Linked DNA regions of Caenorhabditis elegans. The protein of the gene in region 1 interacts with the protein of each later gene in a pairwise test. Each region holds a gene or a part of one and is shown in the gene's direction. Other genes may lie near its edges. The genes, in order: ufm-1, daf-3 and ufl-1.

Region 1 (3,138 bases):
TTTATTGCTACTTACTTTTGTTGACTTCTTTTTTCATGTAATCTACATGGAAAAGAGCAAACAACGACTCCTTTGTAAGCAAATGTTTTGTGAATGAAAATCTGCAATTTAATATTTTTGCAAAATAACTGGATTGAGTCAACCAACTTGTCCAGCTTCAAATGTTGGTTTATTAGTTGATGGCAAGAGAAGTCCAATTTCTTTCAATATTGGCGTTGTGGCGCTTCTGAATCTTAAAAATGATGATTATCGAGTCTGAAATCATCTATAAATTACCTTGACAGTAAGACTTTCCCAGCGGAAAAGTTTCTTACACTGTGCTGAATAGCACTTCGAAGTTTCATATCTGAAATTGTTGGAATAAACATGAATTTTTTCAGATTTTTTGAGTAACAACGGGAATAAACCACGGAATCATAGATGTCAGGAAATACAAATATAACAACTTTAATTAAATTTATGCAAAAATTCTACACGAAAAATACTGAATATCACCTAGAAAAATGGAATTAAATGAAATTTTAAAAAGAACAAACAAACAGGAATAAATTATTTTCTTGGTTTCATCCCCTTATGAATCGAGCACACTCCAAATGTCAAATTCTCGTATCGAACATTACTAAAGCCTTCTTCTCTAATTATTCTTGCAAACTCGTCTTGATTCGGGAATTTACGAATACTCTCAACCAAATATTGATAACTGGCACGATCACTGGCAAGAATTTCTCCAAGAACCGGGATCACATTGAAGGAGTATGCATCGTAAATTGGTTTCAGTGCAGAATTCACTTCTGAGAACTCCAAAATAGCAAGTTGACCTCCAGGTTTGAGTACACGAAAAGCTTCACGAACAACCTTTTCAGGGTGTGTACAATTTCTGATTCCGAAGGACATTGTGAACAGATCGTAAGTGTTCGACTCAAATGGCATTTGCTCGGCGTTAGCGCATACCCATTCCGCGCGAGATGGTTGGATCTGAAGTAATACATTAAGGATATGGAATTTTTTCAAAAACAATTACATCTCTCTCCTTCTCCGCTCGTTTTTTTCCAACATCGAGCATTGGTTGATTAATATCGGAAACTGTCACTTTTGCGGTAGGCGAATGTCTGAGAATTCTGAAAGCGATATCCCCGGTTCCTCCTGCCATATCCAGACATTTCGCATTATACGGTACTTGCAGGCCACCAACATAATAGTCTTTCCATAATCGGTGAACTCCCATGCTCATTGCATCATTCATCAAATCGTACTTTTTCGCGACGTTTGCGAAGACGTGGTGAACTAAAAAAAGACATATAGTATCAGTAAATTATATAGATGTGTTGGAAAAGGGCTTATTTTATGTAGAGAACTTTGTGATTATTATTTGTGGCTATCAGCTTTTTTACGTTTCTGAATCGAACAGCTAACCTTTCTGCTCCTTCTCTGCCTCATCAACGTCAGTGAATCCAAAATGTGTTTTCTTTCCGGGCTCTGACCGTTTATTATCTGAATTGACTTGATTCACCGAAAACTGCCGGAAATTTCCAACGTTCGTAGGTTTTCTCATGCTTTTAAATAAGTTTGTTGCTCCTTTCATTCTGAAAATAAATGAGTTTTAATTCGGACAAAAGATGAGAAAATTTTGAGAACTTAATTGCGAAGTTGAATGATAAATTAAGTGATAAAAATCACGATACTCTGAAAGTTCTTGCAAGAAATATTCTACCGCATTTTCCCGTGGAGATTCCTAGGCCATCACTCCATAATGAATTTTGAAGAGACGTATTTCTCGTTTTTGTGGTATTTGTACACTAAATACTAGCGTTCGAACTACAATCTTCATTTAAATTTCACTCGAACTTTAACATATGAAAAATAATTGAATTATATTATAGTTCTTGATCACGCCATCACTGGCCTAGGTTCCGTCAAGTGGCCGAGTTTTGTAAGAGACACTTGGCATTTTTCCAGTTTTTCTCTCCTATTGTTTTTCAGTTTTTCAGGTTATTTTGTGCATTTCTGTTATGTCCTTTTCTTTATCAATTTGTTCGACTTTTTAAAAAACAATTTTTCAAACAAACTGGACGATTATTATTGATTTTATGCGAGAGATTTTCAGGAATGTCGGGTGGAACAGCAGCAACAACTGCCGGTTCCAAGGTGACCTTCAAAATCACTCTAACAAGTGATCCGAAGCTCCCATTCAAGGTGTAAGTTTTTATATTTAAATTTTCGGTTTACTTTTGATTTGGAGTTTTGCGTCATGCATTAATTTTTCAGCCTCTCCGTGCCGGAAAGTACCCCATTCACCGCCGTTCTCAAGTTTGCCGCTGAAGAATTCAAGGTCCCTGCGGCTACATCAGCAATCATTACGAACGACGGAGTTGGCGTCAATCCAGCTCAACCTGCCGGAAACATTTTTTTGAAGCACGGAAGTGAACTTCGTCTGATTCCACGTGATCGCGTCGGCCATTGAGCATAAGCCAATTGTTGTCTACATTCCTGTATTATGACATAATTATTTTTACAAAATGTGATGTCTCTGTGCATTTCTATCCTAAACTCGCTAAGTCAGATTTGAATATCTAAATTCTTCTAAATATTAATTTATTGAAATTCCCCTTTCCAAAGTACGCTATGAAGCTTTTTTCTCAAACTTGTTCAATCAATTTATCAATACTGGTTGCTCTTCCGCATTTTATCTTACTTTTTTAAAACTACTTTACTTTTAGTCTTATATTATTTTATTTAAGATGAAGCTCTCCCCAGCTACCAAGTCTTTCATCGGTAAGACAGTCGATATTTCCACATTTGCAATCCAATGGGGATTCGTGCCGTTTGTGGTCTACCTTGGATTTAAGAAAGGCGCTGAGCCAATGCCAAATGGACAGGTAAAAACTAGAAAAAGAAACATTTAGTTTTAAAATCACGTCTCCGAGAGAGCGTAATAAATAAAAAATGCGTCCCATAATACACAAGATTCAAACATTTATATAGATACCGCATTTTCTTTACAAGTTTCTCGTTGTGTAAATAGAACAATTGCATGCGAGACGCTGCCAATTATTTTTTAATTTATTTGTCAAAAGTTTAAGTTTTACCAAAAACACCTATGCTTTCAATTCAAAGATTTAAGAATTCATATTTCAGATC
Region 2 (8,081 bases), on another chromosome or scaffold:
TTTAAAATTCCGTGTTCACAAGTTTAGAGTACAAGAAAAGTGTCTTCAATAAAAATTGAACTTTTTGTTTCTGCTGTGATATCTTTCACGATAAAATCTTTTGAAAAACCATCGCTTTTATAGTACTAGAGGTGTTAATAATTGACGGTTTCAAGGCTAAGATCACGCGATTCTTTAGTTGAATTTGTTTTTTGATTGTTTGGACTGTGAGATTGTAATTTTTTTAATCTTGTAAGTTTTTGTGCAATGAAAAATGCCTTAACGACTTTCATATAAATTTCTCTTATTCCTCTTGTTTAAAATGTCTACCACAAATTTTTAACAGTTATAACTAAATTGGGCAAAATTTGTTATTTCAACTTTACAAAAAAAATTTAACTTTTTTTGAATACTCTCTGTAGACGCGGTTTTTTTTTCAGAATTATGGTGGCCACCTTTTCAATAAAAAAAAATTATCTGAAAAATGCCATGGTCTCTCTGACCTTCGGCCCACATTGTATCTACGGATTTCATTCAAATATTTGCGGTTTTTTTTGACCGCTTGATCAAACTAATGAACTTTCATCAATGCAAACAAAATTTTTTCGCCAAAAGCAAATGACTAGCCAACTTTTTTTTTCTGTTTATGTTCAAATAGTTCAGTGGTTTCTTGTTAATTAATTATGACACAGTTTTGGTCACAAAATTTGAGCGTTTTTTTCGCTGAAACAATTGCACAAATCTAATACAAAACATTCTGATATCACACGCATCAATTTGGCGAGATTTCAAAAAATCAAACTGAGATGAGACCAGTGAAAACAAAAAATATATATGAGTCATCTAGAAAGTGATCTATACATTTTGTAGATCTTTTTTTAAAAATTGTGATGTTTGAGTACTTACAATGTAGGTCTACCACTTATTTTTTCTAGTTAGCTCACTATTTTATGCTTAGCATAGGTCAAACTACCCTTATAAAAAAAAACAATTATTTAGGTAAAAACGCTTGAAGTTCTTTTTTTCCTTTGTTTTGCACGAGAGGTTTTTTGTAAGTTTCTTATCAATCTCTTTTTTCAGTAAAAAAAGATCAAAACATCAAACCGAGGTCATGTGCACTCTCTTGTAGCTCTCTACTTGTTCCCTCATTATCTTATTCCCCCCGTCTTCTCACTTGTTGGTCCAACTACGCTCAACTTATCGATTCTTTGCAGCGAGCACTGCCACCTCAACACACTTTTAGCAATGAAATAGTGTGCTGGGCGAAGAGACGCAGACACACGTACGTAGTTTAAGAGTGAGCGAGATAGAGTGTGCGTAACGAGAAAAAGAGATAGAAGACGAAGAAACAAGTAGTGGTTTGGTTTCGATCTTTTTTTTTTAATTTGGGATATTTTTATTTTTATTTTCGAATTGTCAATTATTATTATTAATAGACTGTCAAAAATTACTTTTAATACCCCGTATTTGAACACGTTCTTTTTTTTATTTCTCTTAAATTGATTCCAAACAAGTTCCTATTAACACAATTCTTTTCAATTTTCTTTTCGAAATCATAATATTTTTTAAAAGTTAAATCTGTGGTTTTTTGGTTTTCCTTTCTGAATATGTTTTTACTGAAAACACCAAAAAATCTTGACAGTAGCTCAAAATATCAAGCTTTACAATTAAAGTTTTTCTCAACTTTTTTTTTCCCCTATAAACACAATCTCCCTTTATTCCCAAAAATACCACGAAACATGATATTTCAAAAAAAAAAGACAAACAGGTTTATACCACAGTTTGTACCTTTTATTGTCCATGCTGGTATTGTATTTCCTACTTCTTTGCCGCCCGGTTTTTCCTTGTTGTTTTAATTTTATTCCAAAACTCAATTTTACAGGTAATCAAATTGTAAAGGAAAAATATTAATAGTCAGAGTACACATAAATGGGTGATCATCATAATTTAACGGGTGAGTTTTTGTTTTATTGAAATTACTTTATTTTCGGAATGTTATTTAAAAAAAAGTTACAGTTTGAATAAAAAAACAGGATCTTCTGTTTCAGTTTTGAAAAAAAAACCAATTCCATAGTCCATATCCCAACTTACAGGCCTTCCCGGTACCTCCATCCCGCCACAGTTCAACTATTCTCAGCCCGGTACCAGCACCGGAGGGCCGCTTTATGGTGGAAAACCTTCTCATGGATTGGAAGATATTCCTGATGTAGAGGAATATGAGAGGAACCTGCTCGGGGCTGGAGCAGGTTTTAATCTGCTCAATGTAGGAAATATGGCTAATGGTGAGTTTAAATAGTAGCTATAGGAGTGAAGTGTTTGGAGTGTCGTGTTGGATATAAAATATCAATTAAAATAGATTCGAATTATTCAGAAAATCGCTTATTTTGGTAGTAGAACAAATGTTGATAAGTTAACAGACATCTTCTTTTTCCAATTAGTCTTGCACCCGAAGTGACTAGTTGGAAAATAGCCTTGCAGTTTCTATTAATTTTGTACATACTAATCTAGTACATTTCTAGAGAAAATTTTAGTATTTTAAGGTGGCAACGAGTAGTGCGGAACTCAAAATTCTCTTACATTCTCTTATATCTACTTACATTGAAAATTAATTTTGCACTCAAAAAATACCAAATAAAAAATAGGGTACTTGTTCCCGCTATTTTTGAAATTAATCAATTTTTCATTAATTTATCTATTTAAATTAAACTTGATATCTATTTTCTTCGTTGGGCTCAGGAATGGTAAATACGAGTTTTATAAGTTTTTATTTTATAAGTTAAAAAATTAATTTCTAAAATAGCGGAAGCATAATACACAAGTACCAAAAATAGTTATACATGCAATTTTGTCCATAGAATACTCTGAAACAACCTTGGTATTAGCTGCAAAACTGCAACATTATCAATTTAAAAAGGTATTTCTAATTGCAAATAAAATCGTAGCATTTCTAACAGTTGCCTAATTCTCGCTTTCTATTTTCAAATTTCAATTTTTTTTAAACTTTCAAGTAATGCAAACTCTGTAAAACACTGAAATCTAGTGAAAACCAAATCAATTTCCCTACGTGATTAGTAGTCGTGGTGTATGGTGGTTTGTGTTGGTTTGATATGCTTATTTTCCTTTTTGTTTTAAAAACCTTCCCCGTTTTGTTGCTTTTTAAATTTTACATTTCAAACTGAAATTCAGAATTTAAACCAATAATCACATTGGACACGAAACCACCTCGTGATGCCAACAAGTCATTGGCATTCAATGGCGGGTTGAAGCTAATCACTCCGAAAACTGAAGGTAAATAACGTCGAACATAGTAGTATAGCTTGAAAATAAAAAAAAACGTTGAATATGATGCATAAATGGTGCAATAGAAGGTTCAAAAGAATTTGTTGCCAACAAAAAATCTAAAATTTCAACACGAACCTCATGATGTTTACCGTCTGGCAGTCACTAACACACGTATTGATAAGCGAATTGTTGCCAAATTTCGTTGCTTATCAAACCTTATTTCTCTCTGACCATGAAGCTAATAGCAACTTCTCTTCTAGTTCCCGACGAGCACACACCGATGATGTCACCAGTGAATACAACTACAAAGATTCTACAACGGAGTGGTATTAAAATGGAAATCCCGCCATATTTGGATCCAGACAGTCAGGATGATGACCCGGAAGATGGTGTCAACTACCCGGATCCAGATTTATGTAAGTGGCAAAAAAAGTGTGAGCAAAAGAACTTAATATATTTTCAGTTGACACAAAAAACACAAATATGACCGAGTACGATTTGGATGTGTTGAAGCTTGGAAAACCAGCAGTAGATGAAGCACGGAAAAAGATCGAAGTTCCCGACGCTAGTGCGCCGCCAAACAAAATTGTAGAATATTTGATGTATTATAGAACGGTAAATACTTAAGTTTGTAGTACTGATTACAATATTGCATTTTCAGTTAAAAGAAAGTGAACTCATACAACTGAATGCGTATCGGACAAAACGAAATCGATTATCGTTGAACTTGGTCAAAAACAATATTGATCGAGAGTTCGACCAAAAAGCTTGCGAGTCCCTGGTGAAAAAATTGAAGGATAAGAAGAATGATCTCCAGAACCTGATTGATGTGGTTCTTTCAAAAGGTACAAAATATACCGGTTGCATTACAATTCCAAGGACACTTGATGGCCGGTTACAGGTGAGATCAAAAAAAATTTCTAGGACACATTTTGAGCCTATAGACATTAAATTATGATCTTTCAACGAACCTACGCTAGATAAATGATCCGACTTTTAAAAGTTTTGGAATTTATTTTGAGACGTTTCATTATGAAACTTGTATTAGACCAGCTTATGATATCAAAGTACCCACAAACTCCATACAAATTACAGGTCCACGGAAGAAAAGGTTTCCCTCACGTAGTCTATGGCAAACTGTGGAGGTTTAATGAAATGACAAAAAACGAAACGCGTCATGTGGACCACTGCAAGCACGCATTTGAAATGAAAAGTGACATGGTAGGTGAAGTAAGTGTGAATTGTTTCATTTTTCCTTTGATGTGATGTGGCACATGTTAGCTTCTTCCCTTATTCGGTTAACTCTGTGACCTTTGTTTGATTAAGTTGATTGCCTAATGTTGAGAAGATGTGACTTTTAAAAGTTTTAATATGAATATTAGGCCTTACAGGTATGCGTGAATCCCTATCACTACGAAATTGTCATTGGAACTATGATTGTTGGGCAGAGGGATCATGACAATCGAGATATGCCGCCGCCACATCAACGCTACCACACTCCAGGTCGGCAGGATCCAGTTGACGATATGAGTAGATTTATACCACCAGCTTCCATTCGTCCGCCTCCGATGAACATGCACACAAGGCCTCAGCCTATGCCTCAACAATTGCCTTCAGTTGGCGCAACGTTTGCCCATCCTCTCCCACATCAGGCGCCACATAACCCAGGGGTTTCACATCCGTACTCCATTGCTCCACAGACCCATTACCCGTTGAACATGAACCCAATTCCGCAAATGCCGCAAATGCCACAAATGCCACCACCTCTCCATCAGGGATATGGAATGAATGGGCCGAGTTGCTCTTCAGAAAACAACAATCCATTCCACCAAAATCACCATTATAATGATATTAGCCATCCAAATCACTATTCCTACGACTGTGGTCCGAACTTGTACGGGTTTCCAACTCCTTATCCGGATTTTCACCATCCTTTCAATCAGCAACCACACCAGCCGCCACAACTATCACAAAACCATACGTCCCAACAAGGCAGTCATCAACCAGGGCACCAAGGTCAGGTACCGAATGATCCACCAATTTCAAGACCAGGTACGTATGATTTAAAAAAAAAACAGTTGTTGTAAGGAGAAAAAGTTATTCTGACAGTAGGCATGAGGGTTGAACTAGAGGGACGCCGCAATTGCAAGAATTGTCGATTGCCGAAAATTTCCGACTTTGAACGGATGTCGGCAGGATGTGCCGGTCCGCTGTCAGGGTGGGCGGCAATTGCCGTTTGGCAATTTTTTTTGTCCACAAATTCAGCAAATCGCCGGAAATTTTCGATTCCGGCAATTAGCCGGTTTGCCGATTTGACGGAAATTTTAATTGAAGCAATTTGCCGATTTGCCGATTTGGCTGAAAAAATCGTTTGCCGCTCACCCCTGGTTTGGTGTTCCAGCCGAGAGCTAATAATTTTAGTCACTCAGCCACACAATACTGCCACCTATCAAGGCATGGATTTACAAAGGTTTAATATCTCCAGGTGTCAAACCAGAAACGGCAAAATATTATTTATGGGTACCTCATTATATAAAGGGGTAGAATATAAGTAGGCGGACAGGTGCATAGCCAATTCCCGCAGTTTAATCCTTTTTGGGATGTCCATTAACAGAGCCTTATTTGAATTTTTCTATTGGATTTTCGCCCTTTTCCGATGAAAACGAAGCGTTTTCAAACTTCACTAAAAGTGCAGCTTTTACAATTTTGACTAAATTGCTCTAGAATTAAGTATGAAAAAATTTTATGAATAGTATTGAGAGTTCATATTCTTTCGCAAAATAATCAAGAAATCTCTGCAGGAAATTTAATGTTAAGTTTAATCCTTATACATAAATTCTAATATAAGTACTTGATAATAACGAGAAAGGATGAAGCCCCTCAAATATTTGCCTTTTAAATTTGCACGTAGGTTTGAAAAGGCATCAATTTTGCAAATTTTTTTTTCGATAAACATTTTGCAGTTTTTTTATTTTAGATCTCATCAAAATATCTTCTTCTGGTAGACACATGTAATTTATTTGAAATTGATTGGAAAATGCCAACTTACAACATTTTGAAAAGGTGTCCTGCCAATTTCATATCAGTTATCAGATTTATTTTCTAAAAAAATAGCCAAGTTGAGACCACGAGGCGTATGATTATAGTTGTATAGTCGGTGATTTATTGCATAAAGAAGTTGGTTTAAAAGCAGTGATTTTGATTCTCAAAACTCATTTTTTTAGAGATTTTCTACAGCCGCTTTGCGAACAATTTTACTTTTCATCATACATGATACATTTTTTTGTCGCCTTTTCAGTTCATTCCTAAAATTTGTAAAACTTGAAGTAAACTCAATTACAGTGTTACAACCATCAACAGTCACCTTGGACGTGTTCCGTCGGTACTGTAGACAGACATTTGGAAATCGATTTTTTGAAGGAGAAAGTGAACAATCCGGCGCAATAATTCGGTCTAGTAACAAATTCATTGAAGTAAGTATTTCTAATATGTAGCTACTATGTACGTGTCACTCAAGATTGACAGCTTATCGCATATAAGTTGTGTCGATAAGGTGCCAAACAAAATATTGAATTTAATGTCACTTTTTGCTTTCTGAATCATCAAACAAACGATTTTTGTTTTTCATTCAAGAATATTGTGTTTTTTCTAGGAATTTGATTCGCCGATTTGTGGTGTGACAGTTGTTCGACCGCGGATGACAGACGGTGAGGTTTTGGAGAACATCATGCCGGAAGATGCACCATATCATGACATTTGCAAGTTCATTTTGAGGTTCGTTCTAGTTTTCATGGAATTAAAAGCCAAGTATTTTTTAGGCTCACATCAGAAAGTGTAACTTTCTCAGGAGAGGGGCCAGAAGTTAGTGATTGTAAGTTTCTTTTTTTTCTCTCTAAAGTTCACTTTAAAAAATCGTGTTAGTGATTGAAAACAAAATGAGTAATTATGTATTATACCCCGCCAACATAAAATTAAATTAAATTTTCATTCATAACTTTATTTAAATTAAACGTGATATGGATTATCTTCTTCAGATTTAGAAATGGTTATCATCAAGAAATCTTCCACACGTTTTCATGCTTTATTTCTTAAAAACTTTCATTTAAAACGACGGGGATATAATACATAAATACCCAAAAATGTAAAAGATCAAGTAAATTTAAAATGTTCACAACATAAAAAAAAACTGCTTGCTTTTTTCAGTGAACGAAAAATGGGGAACAATTGTGTACTATGAGAAAAATTTGCAAATTGGCGAGAAAAAATGTTCGAGAGGAAATTTCCACGTGGATGGCGGATTCATTTGCTCTGAGAATCGTTACAGTCTCGGACTTGAGCCAAATCCAATTAGAGAACCAGTGGCGTTTAAAGTTCGGTAAGTAAATCTGAAACTTATTGATATATTATAGAACATAGGTACAATTTTTTTTACAATCCAATTTTTTGGGCAATGACAGTATCAGGGTAACAATCCAATCCAAATTCGGAAATGTTGTTCGATAGTTTCCAGCTTATGAATTTTCTAACTAAAGAAATAACACAAATTTTTAAAGCTTTTGAACCATTGAAATGTTTCAGTAAAGCAATAGTGGATGGAATTCGCTTTTCCTACAAAAAAGACGGGAGTGTTTGGCTTCAAAACCGCATGAAGTACCCGGTATTTGTCACTTCTGGGTATCTCGACGAGCAATCAGGAGGCCTAAAGAAGGATAAAGTGCACAAAGTTTACGGATGTGCGTCTATCAAAACGTTTGGCTTCAACGTTTCCAAACAAATCATCAGAGACGCGCTTCTTTCCAAGCAAATGGCAACAATGTACT
Region 3 (6,625 bases), on another chromosome or scaffold:
CTATCTCAGCTGGAAGCGGTTCTCTGTGCAGAAGGAGTTCGAAGTGCCGCCGGTGATTGTCAAAATCTTCCTCTCATTTATTCAATTTTATCGTTAACGGAGAGTACGCATTCACTAACTGCCCTCTTGGTTTCTGATCTTTTGTATGCCGAATTTGTAAATGAGAAACACGACGAAAGTAATCAGTTGAAACTCTTGAAACAAGTCTTCGAAAGCGTCAAAAAAATGCGTGAAACTTGGGCTGAAAAAATGGGGACTGAACATTTTCGTGGAAACATCCGCCGTTTTCTGGACGAAACCCTTCTCACGTTCATTCTGACATTTATTGATAAGGTTTCCGTTCATAACTTTTTATATTCATAATTATTTGTATTTTCAGTGTATGGGAGCCGTCGCAGTCCCAAGTGACACACGACTTTTCCATGAATGTTTCTTGCTCACTCAAGAATTTATCGATAATTGGCCATCTTCTCATACCTGCCGTGCAATGCTTAAGTCGATCAGGGATAAATTCAATTTATTAGTTTATTTTAAATTAGAAACACATCGATTCGGAAAACAGTGCGATCAGCTGATGTCTCCCGAAATGTTTGCCGAGCCAGAAACTTCTGAAAATCGAGAAAACACTCCTCAGCTGCACTGCGGAGTTTCAAGAGCAATTATAACAGCAATTGAGCATGTGTGGAGTGATGATGTGTATCTTCCTCCTATTGTTGATAAATTATGGGATTTCACATTGAAGCTTTTGCTAAAGCATTTCTCGTGGAGTCAAACTATGAAAAAGTTAGATTAAAAGTTCTTCTTCACGAAAAATATTTTGTTTTCTAGTTATTTCATGGAAGAAAAAAGAGATTGGACTTCAATGGTTACTCTCCGCTCGGATACTGGAAATCTTCATCAATTGGTTTTCGATTTCGCGTTGGAGTCAATTTGGGGAAAATTTCAGTTCGTTTATTTAAATACTTACTTACATTTAGATATCATTTTTTCAGTGATATCACAGTGGATACCGCTCCATTCGGTCAATGCCTAACAAAGCATGGTCGATCAATTGATAGTCTTTGTGTTCAAATTGATGATAGTATTATTGAAATGTTCTCCGAAGTTCTTCATCAAGAAATTGCTCAAGTTTCCGATGTTCCTAAACAATACAGATGGACGAAGAAATCACCACCGACAACGCATTCCAAATATGTTGTTACAGCTATTGAAATGGTTGAGAATTTGAAAGAAAAACTATGGTAGTTTATATTGCTTCCACAAAATTTTGTACGTATTTTTTTCAGCTGCGAAGAACATCCTCACACCGATGAAATTGTTCGAAAAGTTAATCTTTCAGCATTCAATTATTTCGTGGGGAAAGGGAACGAGGTAACGTTTATTTTGGACACATGAGATAATTTTTTTTCCCGCTAAGTTTATAAACCACTCCAATTGATGCAAATTGCAACAAAATATTTGTTTTCAGGTGCTGGATAGTGTCGAAGCTACAGGATCTTCTTTATCCCGATTCAAACGGAAAACCACAACTGATTCTGGCTCCACGGTTACTGATGACGATAAAATCAAACAACAAATCTATCATGATGCTAAATATTTCCTGAGCTATGCGGAAAATCTTGTATTCTCACAAGCTGATCTCACCGGATTACAAGAAGTCGTCAATCGATTTGACAAAGATGCACGTTCGGCGATTGTACAAGAGAAAAATCAGAACGAAGAAGCGGGGAATGCTTGAATTAATTTTATGTGATTATTTATTTACATGTACATTTTATTTTAACAAATGGGTTGAAGTCTTTAAAATCGTCTATTGCCTTAATATGGGTTCATGGTATTGGAATAAAAAGTGTATAGCATCGTATTTGTGTTCACTTTCTTAAAAGTTCGGTTAAAAATCCATCGATTCATTTCTTTTTCTTTCTTTTTCATTTGATATATTAAAGTGGTAAATATTTCAGATGACTTCCTGGGCAGATATTCAGAAACTTGCATCAGATTTGCAGAGAGTTCAACTGTCACAATCATCTAAAAAGTGAGAAATATCATTGATTCTTGGCCATTTTATATATTTGATACTAAATGATAGCACATACACCATTTGCCCTAAAAACAACAAAAAATTAATAAGGTTTTAGTATCAAAAATTTAATTATTTATCTCATCTGTATTAACAATTTTTCACTAAAATTCTCAATTGTAGAATAATTTTAAAAAATTATTCTTTAAGGCTCTCCGAGGTGAATTGCATTGAAGTCCTTCAAAAACTTATCGCTTCTCATCGAATTGACGTGGTCTATACTAGAGATGGGCATAGTTATGTAACTAAAAACCACTTGGAAACTGAGGTGAGAGGGCAGAAATTTTTTATTCAAAAAAAAAAAATGAAAATAAAAGTAAAATATTGGTAGATGAGACCAATATGTAGTCGTTTCTTAAATTTCAGAACCCTGAATTTTTTCGAAAAATCTCATTATGAAATGGTATATTAAATGGAAGCCACCATTCTTTTTTGCCACGTGGAACTTCTTGGGGTGATGGAGAAACTGGAGAATTTGATGGTGACTCGTGTTGGCTCTGAAATTTCCTTTTTTTTAAAAGAATACTAACATTCCAAACAGCTTAGGCTCACTTGATCAGGTTTCTTTAATATAGACTTTGGCATTAGAATTGCGGGAGATGGATTGGGCATTGTTGAGTGTTTGAGAAAATAAAAATGTCTATCTATTCTTTCTTTTTTTTCTCACAAACTCCGCCTTTTTGTTGACCGCAATGAACTTTTATGTTTACACAAATGCAGAAATGTGAGTACAGAATAAACTGGAAGCAGCAAAACATGTGATCATGTTTTCATTTTGACAGCAGCCTTGGTTTTCGATTTGTTATTGAGGATAAATTTACGGTTAGGAATAAATATGAAAGAAGAACAATTAATTTTTATTATAAAGTATCACAGAAAAAAGTAGTTAAATAAATATTTGTAAGCAAAAATGTGTCATTTACGTTTTGAAAATCTGGAAAATATTATCTACACACGAATAATTACAGTAATCTTTAAAGGCGCGTTGCTCTTTGTGTATAAGATAATAATGTCGCTTCGAGACCGGCTACCGTATTTTGGCAGAATAATTGGAAAATTACACAGGCTGAATATTTTCCAAAGTTTCAAGTTCATCAATCCATTTTTCAGATAAAAAACGAGTGCATAGCCGCTGGAGGACGTGCTTCTCTCACTGATATCGCAGTTGCTCTTAACATAGATTTCGATCATATCGAGAAGACTTCGCGCTTGATTGTTTCGACTGATGATGAATTTACAATTTCGAATGCAGAGATATTCGCGACGTAGGTCAAGTTTATTCACGTGATTTAGATAGGCCTAAAGTTCGGAAAAGAACAAAGAAGAACACATTGACTTCATTATTGTTACGTGTCGATTGCAAATTGCAAATCGACAAAATCATTTGTTCATTGAACACTCAAAAAATATAAATTTTCAGTGAATACGTACATCGTCTTCGTAACGAATTGCGTACACTTCTCGATGAGCAAGGAAATCAAACAACTGCAGCACTCTGCAAGCACTGGAATCTATCATCGGAACTTTTGCAATCCTTGCTAATCGAAAAATTGGGATCTTCTGATTTTCAAGGAGTGGTTGATGGGGATACGATCTATACTTCTTCATTTTTGAATGCCAGACAATTGGTTCTACGCGCTATTCTGATTGCATTAACTAAGTGAGAATCTGTTTTCCATTGCCGTTCAAATAATGTTTTTTCCAAACAGAATCACTCCTATTTCAACTATCCAAAAACGAGTTGGTCTCACACCGAAACGATTTTGGATTGCGTTCGAAAATCTTCAATCTCTCGGCGAAATTCCTGGTACTTTAATCGGTTCTCGTACATCACCTTCCTGCTCGTATCGTCCAATGATGTACGATCATCTTGTGAAGTCGTGCGTTTTGAATCAATATAGACAGAATGAATTTTTAGGTATGATCATCTATTTGTTTATCTTTTAATTTCTTTAAATTCCAGAAATTTCAACTCTAAAAACTCTAGGAGTAGATGCAAAACCAGCTCTCGAAGAAGTTCTTGGATCATCTGAATTCAAAAAACTTGTCAGTATGAGATCTATGTTTATGACAAAAGAACTCATGGATCAATGTATTAATGCTGTTCAAGGTTTTTTGTTTAATTGTTTTGAATTTTATTACTTAATTGAATTTTTAAATTTTCAGAAGACTTACAAAAAAGCGGAATATCCGACGTGCATTTGGCTCTTCAATCTCTAAATCTTCCTCTAGATACTGCTGATGAGGATGAAATCGGGTCAAAAGTTGCAAATGTGGAAAAAGATTCGCATTTTGCAGAGGGTTTTGTGTTCAAGGGAGCAGTTTTGACTGAAGCTCTGCGTTCAATTGACAAATTGTTGGACGTCAGAGCACATGAGGAAGTTGATCGATTAGAAGCGGAGAAAAAGAAACAAGGCGGAGCCAAGGCAGCAGTGAAAGTTCAAGAAGAGGTATACAAATTGAATTGAAAAAAAACTATTTAATTTTTCAGACGGATGACTGGGGAGATGGAAAGAAAGGTGGAAAAGGAGGAAAGAAAAACGCAAAAAGTGTGAAAGGTGGTTCGAAATCGTCTGCTCCTTCAACTTCATCCAATTTGTCGGCGAATATTTCCATAAATAGTGAGGAACTGGAAATATGGCTTCGTGAAAGTCAATCAGTACCCGAAGAAATTCTTTCAGTAATTGTGGAAAAGTTGAATCAAGAGGTCCATCTCATGGATTCTTCAGAAATAAATAATTTTTATGTTTCAGACAACAACGCTACTTCGCAAAAAAGTTCAAGACATTCAAGCACATCAATTGGTTGCCAGCGTCGCTAATTCCAAAAAGTCATTGTCTGCAATCGGCGATAAGTGTAGACAACTTTACGATTCATTTAACACATTTGAGACGGCTACTTCCACTTTTGCTGGTAGAAAAAACTTTAAAACTGAATAGAAAAATAATTTATTTTGAATTTCAGATCCCCTTGGCTCAGATCTTCGGCAATATCTTCTGAAAACAGTTGGAAATGAAATTGCATTGGCGTTGCTTTCATATGTTATGGGAGTAGATAATGCACACCAATTGAAGGAAAAACAGCGAGAAGAAACAATTGAAAACCTTCCTGAAATGCTCAGAGATCCGATTCGATCAGTGTTTGCGTCGCTGAAATCTACAGATGATGATGCTTTGGATAAATTTCATGATGCTGTTTATAATTGTTCGGCTCCAAGTGCAACTTCGTTGGCACTGAAAAAAGTCGACAAGAAAGGAAGGTAAAATTATTTTCATAATTCTTTCCAAAAAATATCTAAAAATTATTTATAGTGAGTTAAAATTTTGGAAAAAAATAAGCTAAAATTTTAAATTTCAAAATTTGTCGCAGCTGCTGGAAACAGGGCTGAATTCGAATTTTTTGAAAAAAAAAGCGAAATACGAATAATTTTGCAATTTTTAAATATTATTGATCGAAATTGAAATTGTTTCACAATTTCAAGTATATTTTTTTTAGAAAAAAAGTGACATTTAAAATTTAAAAAAAAACAAATTTTTTCAGAGCCGAAGTTGGAGCTAAAATTACAGCGGAACTTCATGAGCAACTTTGTTCTCAAACGGAGCCAGCAACAACTCTTCTTCTGTCTGTTCTTTATATTTTAGCCAAGGCTGGACGCCCAACAACTGCCAGCGGAAAGTTTGTTTCTCAACTTGTTGCTCAAATTAAGGATTTATGCCCCGAGGTAATAGAATACTAAACATCTATATATCTATCAGAATATCTATTTCCAGAATGTCTTCGACCTACTTCAGGCATGCCAAAAAGGCGTAGTTACTTGCATCAAGAACAAGGGCGACGAAGTGGCCAAAGAAATGCTCGTTAATGATATTTCTAGTCTGAAACAGTCAATTATGCCATAATATCGAAATAATTCGTATAACTTGTTTAATTAATTTATTGAGAACTGAAATATGAATGTATTGCACGTGTTTTATTCTGTTAAAATTAAATCTGTAATTGTTTTTTTAGTCAGAAGGTAGCTTTCATAAACAGCCCAATTTCAATTACTTTTCAATAGATCGCAAATTTTGATGGTCGTTGTGCTCGGATCTCTTCTGCTGTAGATTTTGATTAATATTCACAGCAAAGTTTAATCCTCGAAAAACTTCATAACTCAATTTTTTTGAATTTATCTTCTTCAGATGTCCGGTGACATACCTCTCCACCAATTGCAGCCAAACATGAATTCGTTTTCGGTTACTGTAATTGTTCTAGATCCAGGTATCCTTTGATTTTCAGAAAGAATTTATAAAAATGAATAAATTTTAAGGGATTCATCGCAGAACACAGACGGGAACAATTATTTCAATGAAAGTGGCTGACGCATCGGGTAAGATCAGATAAACCGAAATTTAGCGATTTTTGCTCCAAAAAACGATTCGATTTTCAATCTCGGAACGACAATTTTTGTGGAGTTCGAAAAGGTATGCGCCTTTAAGCAGTACTGTAATTTAAATTTCCTTCGAATTTTCATAGTTTTTAGATAAAAATATATTTATTTATGGA

The links.
Region 2: the proteins of ufm-1 (region 1) and daf-3 interact in a two-hybrid assay, tested with the Caenorhabditis elegans proteins (one study listed by BioGRID).
Region 3: the proteins of ufm-1 (region 1) and ufl-1 interact in a two-hybrid assay, tested with the Caenorhabditis elegans proteins (one study listed by BioGRID).

Annotation. Positions count from the first base shown.
Region 1 is NC_003281.10:7,856,875-7,860,012, forward strand, and holds ufm-1 (Ubiquitin-fold modifier 1), read left to right. Parts: upstream 1-2,104; 5' UTR 2,105-2,106; coding exon 2,107-2,195; intron 2,196-2,265; coding exon 2,266-2,461; 3' UTR 2,462-2,638; downstream 2,639-3,138. Other genes in the region: tag-307 (ApaG domain-containing protein), read right to left, coding at 16-101, 148-232, 277-368; coq-5 (2-methoxy-6-polyprenyl-1,4-benzoquinol methylase, mitochondrial), read right to left, coding at 550-975, 1,022-1,284, 1,414-1,582; tomm-7 (Mitochondrial import receptor subunit TOM7 homolog), read left to right, coding at 2,739-2,876, 3,136-3,138. UniProt on the Caenorhabditis elegans protein: Ubiquitin-like modifier which can be covalently attached via an isopeptide bond to substrate proteins as a monomer or a lysine-linked polymer.
Region 2 is NC_003284.9:819,254-827,334, reverse strand, and holds the start of daf-3 (Smad protein daf-3), read left to right. Parts: upstream 1-1,908; coding exon 1,909-1,933; intron 1,934-2,072; coding exon 2,073-2,261; intron 2,262-3,165; coding exon 3,166-3,267; intron 3,268-3,488; exon of another isoform or gene 3,489-3,493; coding exon of another isoform or gene 3,494-3,521; coding exon 3,522-3,677; intron 3,678-3,724; coding exon 3,725-3,876; intron 3,877-3,922; coding exon 3,923-4,162; intron 4,163-4,356; coding exon 4,357-4,491; intron 4,492-4,643; coding exon of another isoform or gene 4,644-4,652; coding exon 4,653-5,313; intron 5,314-6,603; coding exon 6,604-6,734; intron 6,735-6,913; coding exon 6,914-7,035; intron 7,036-7,079; coding exon 7,080-7,132; intron 7,133-7,464; coding exon 7,465-7,636; intron 7,637-7,839; coding exon 7,840-8,081. UniProt on the Caenorhabditis elegans protein: Transcriptional regulator and common SMAD (co-SMAD), required to regulate entry into a developmentally arrested larval state known as dauer, in response to harsh environmental conditions.
Region 3 is NC_003282.8:7,032,196-7,038,820, reverse strand, and holds ufl-1 (E3 UFM1-protein ligase 1 homolog), read left to right. Parts: upstream 1-1,961; coding exon 1,962-2,035; intron 2,036-2,230; coding exon 2,231-2,348; intron 2,349-2,349; exon of another isoform or gene 2,350-2,442; coding exon of another isoform or gene 2,443-2,577; intron 2,578-2,632; coding exon of another isoform or gene 2,633-2,692; exon of another isoform or gene 2,693-2,698; intron 2,699-3,190; coding exon 3,191-3,345; intron 3,346-3,500; coding exon 3,501-3,740; intron 3,741-3,789; coding exon 3,790-3,998; intron 3,999-4,043; coding exon 4,044-4,190; intron 4,191-4,246; coding exon 4,247-4,530; intron 4,531-4,571; coding exon 4,572-4,787; intron 4,788-4,833; coding exon 4,834-4,993; intron 4,994-5,044; coding exon 5,045-5,339; intron 5,340-5,620; coding exon 5,621-5,801; intron 5,802-5,850; coding exon 5,851-5,979; 3' UTR 5,980-6,125; downstream 6,126-6,625. Other genes in the region: cogc-2 (Conserved oligomeric Golgi complex subunit 2), read left to right, coding at 1-333, 380-783, 829-945, 993-1,241, 1,287-1,371, 1,469-1,738; C06G3.3 (uncharacterized protein), read right to left, coding at 2,443-2,577, 2,633-2,692; nabp-1 (OB domain-containing protein), read left to right, coding at 6,262-6,340, 6,390-6,449. UniProt on the Caenorhabditis elegans protein: E3 UFM1-protein ligase that mediates ufmylation of target proteins.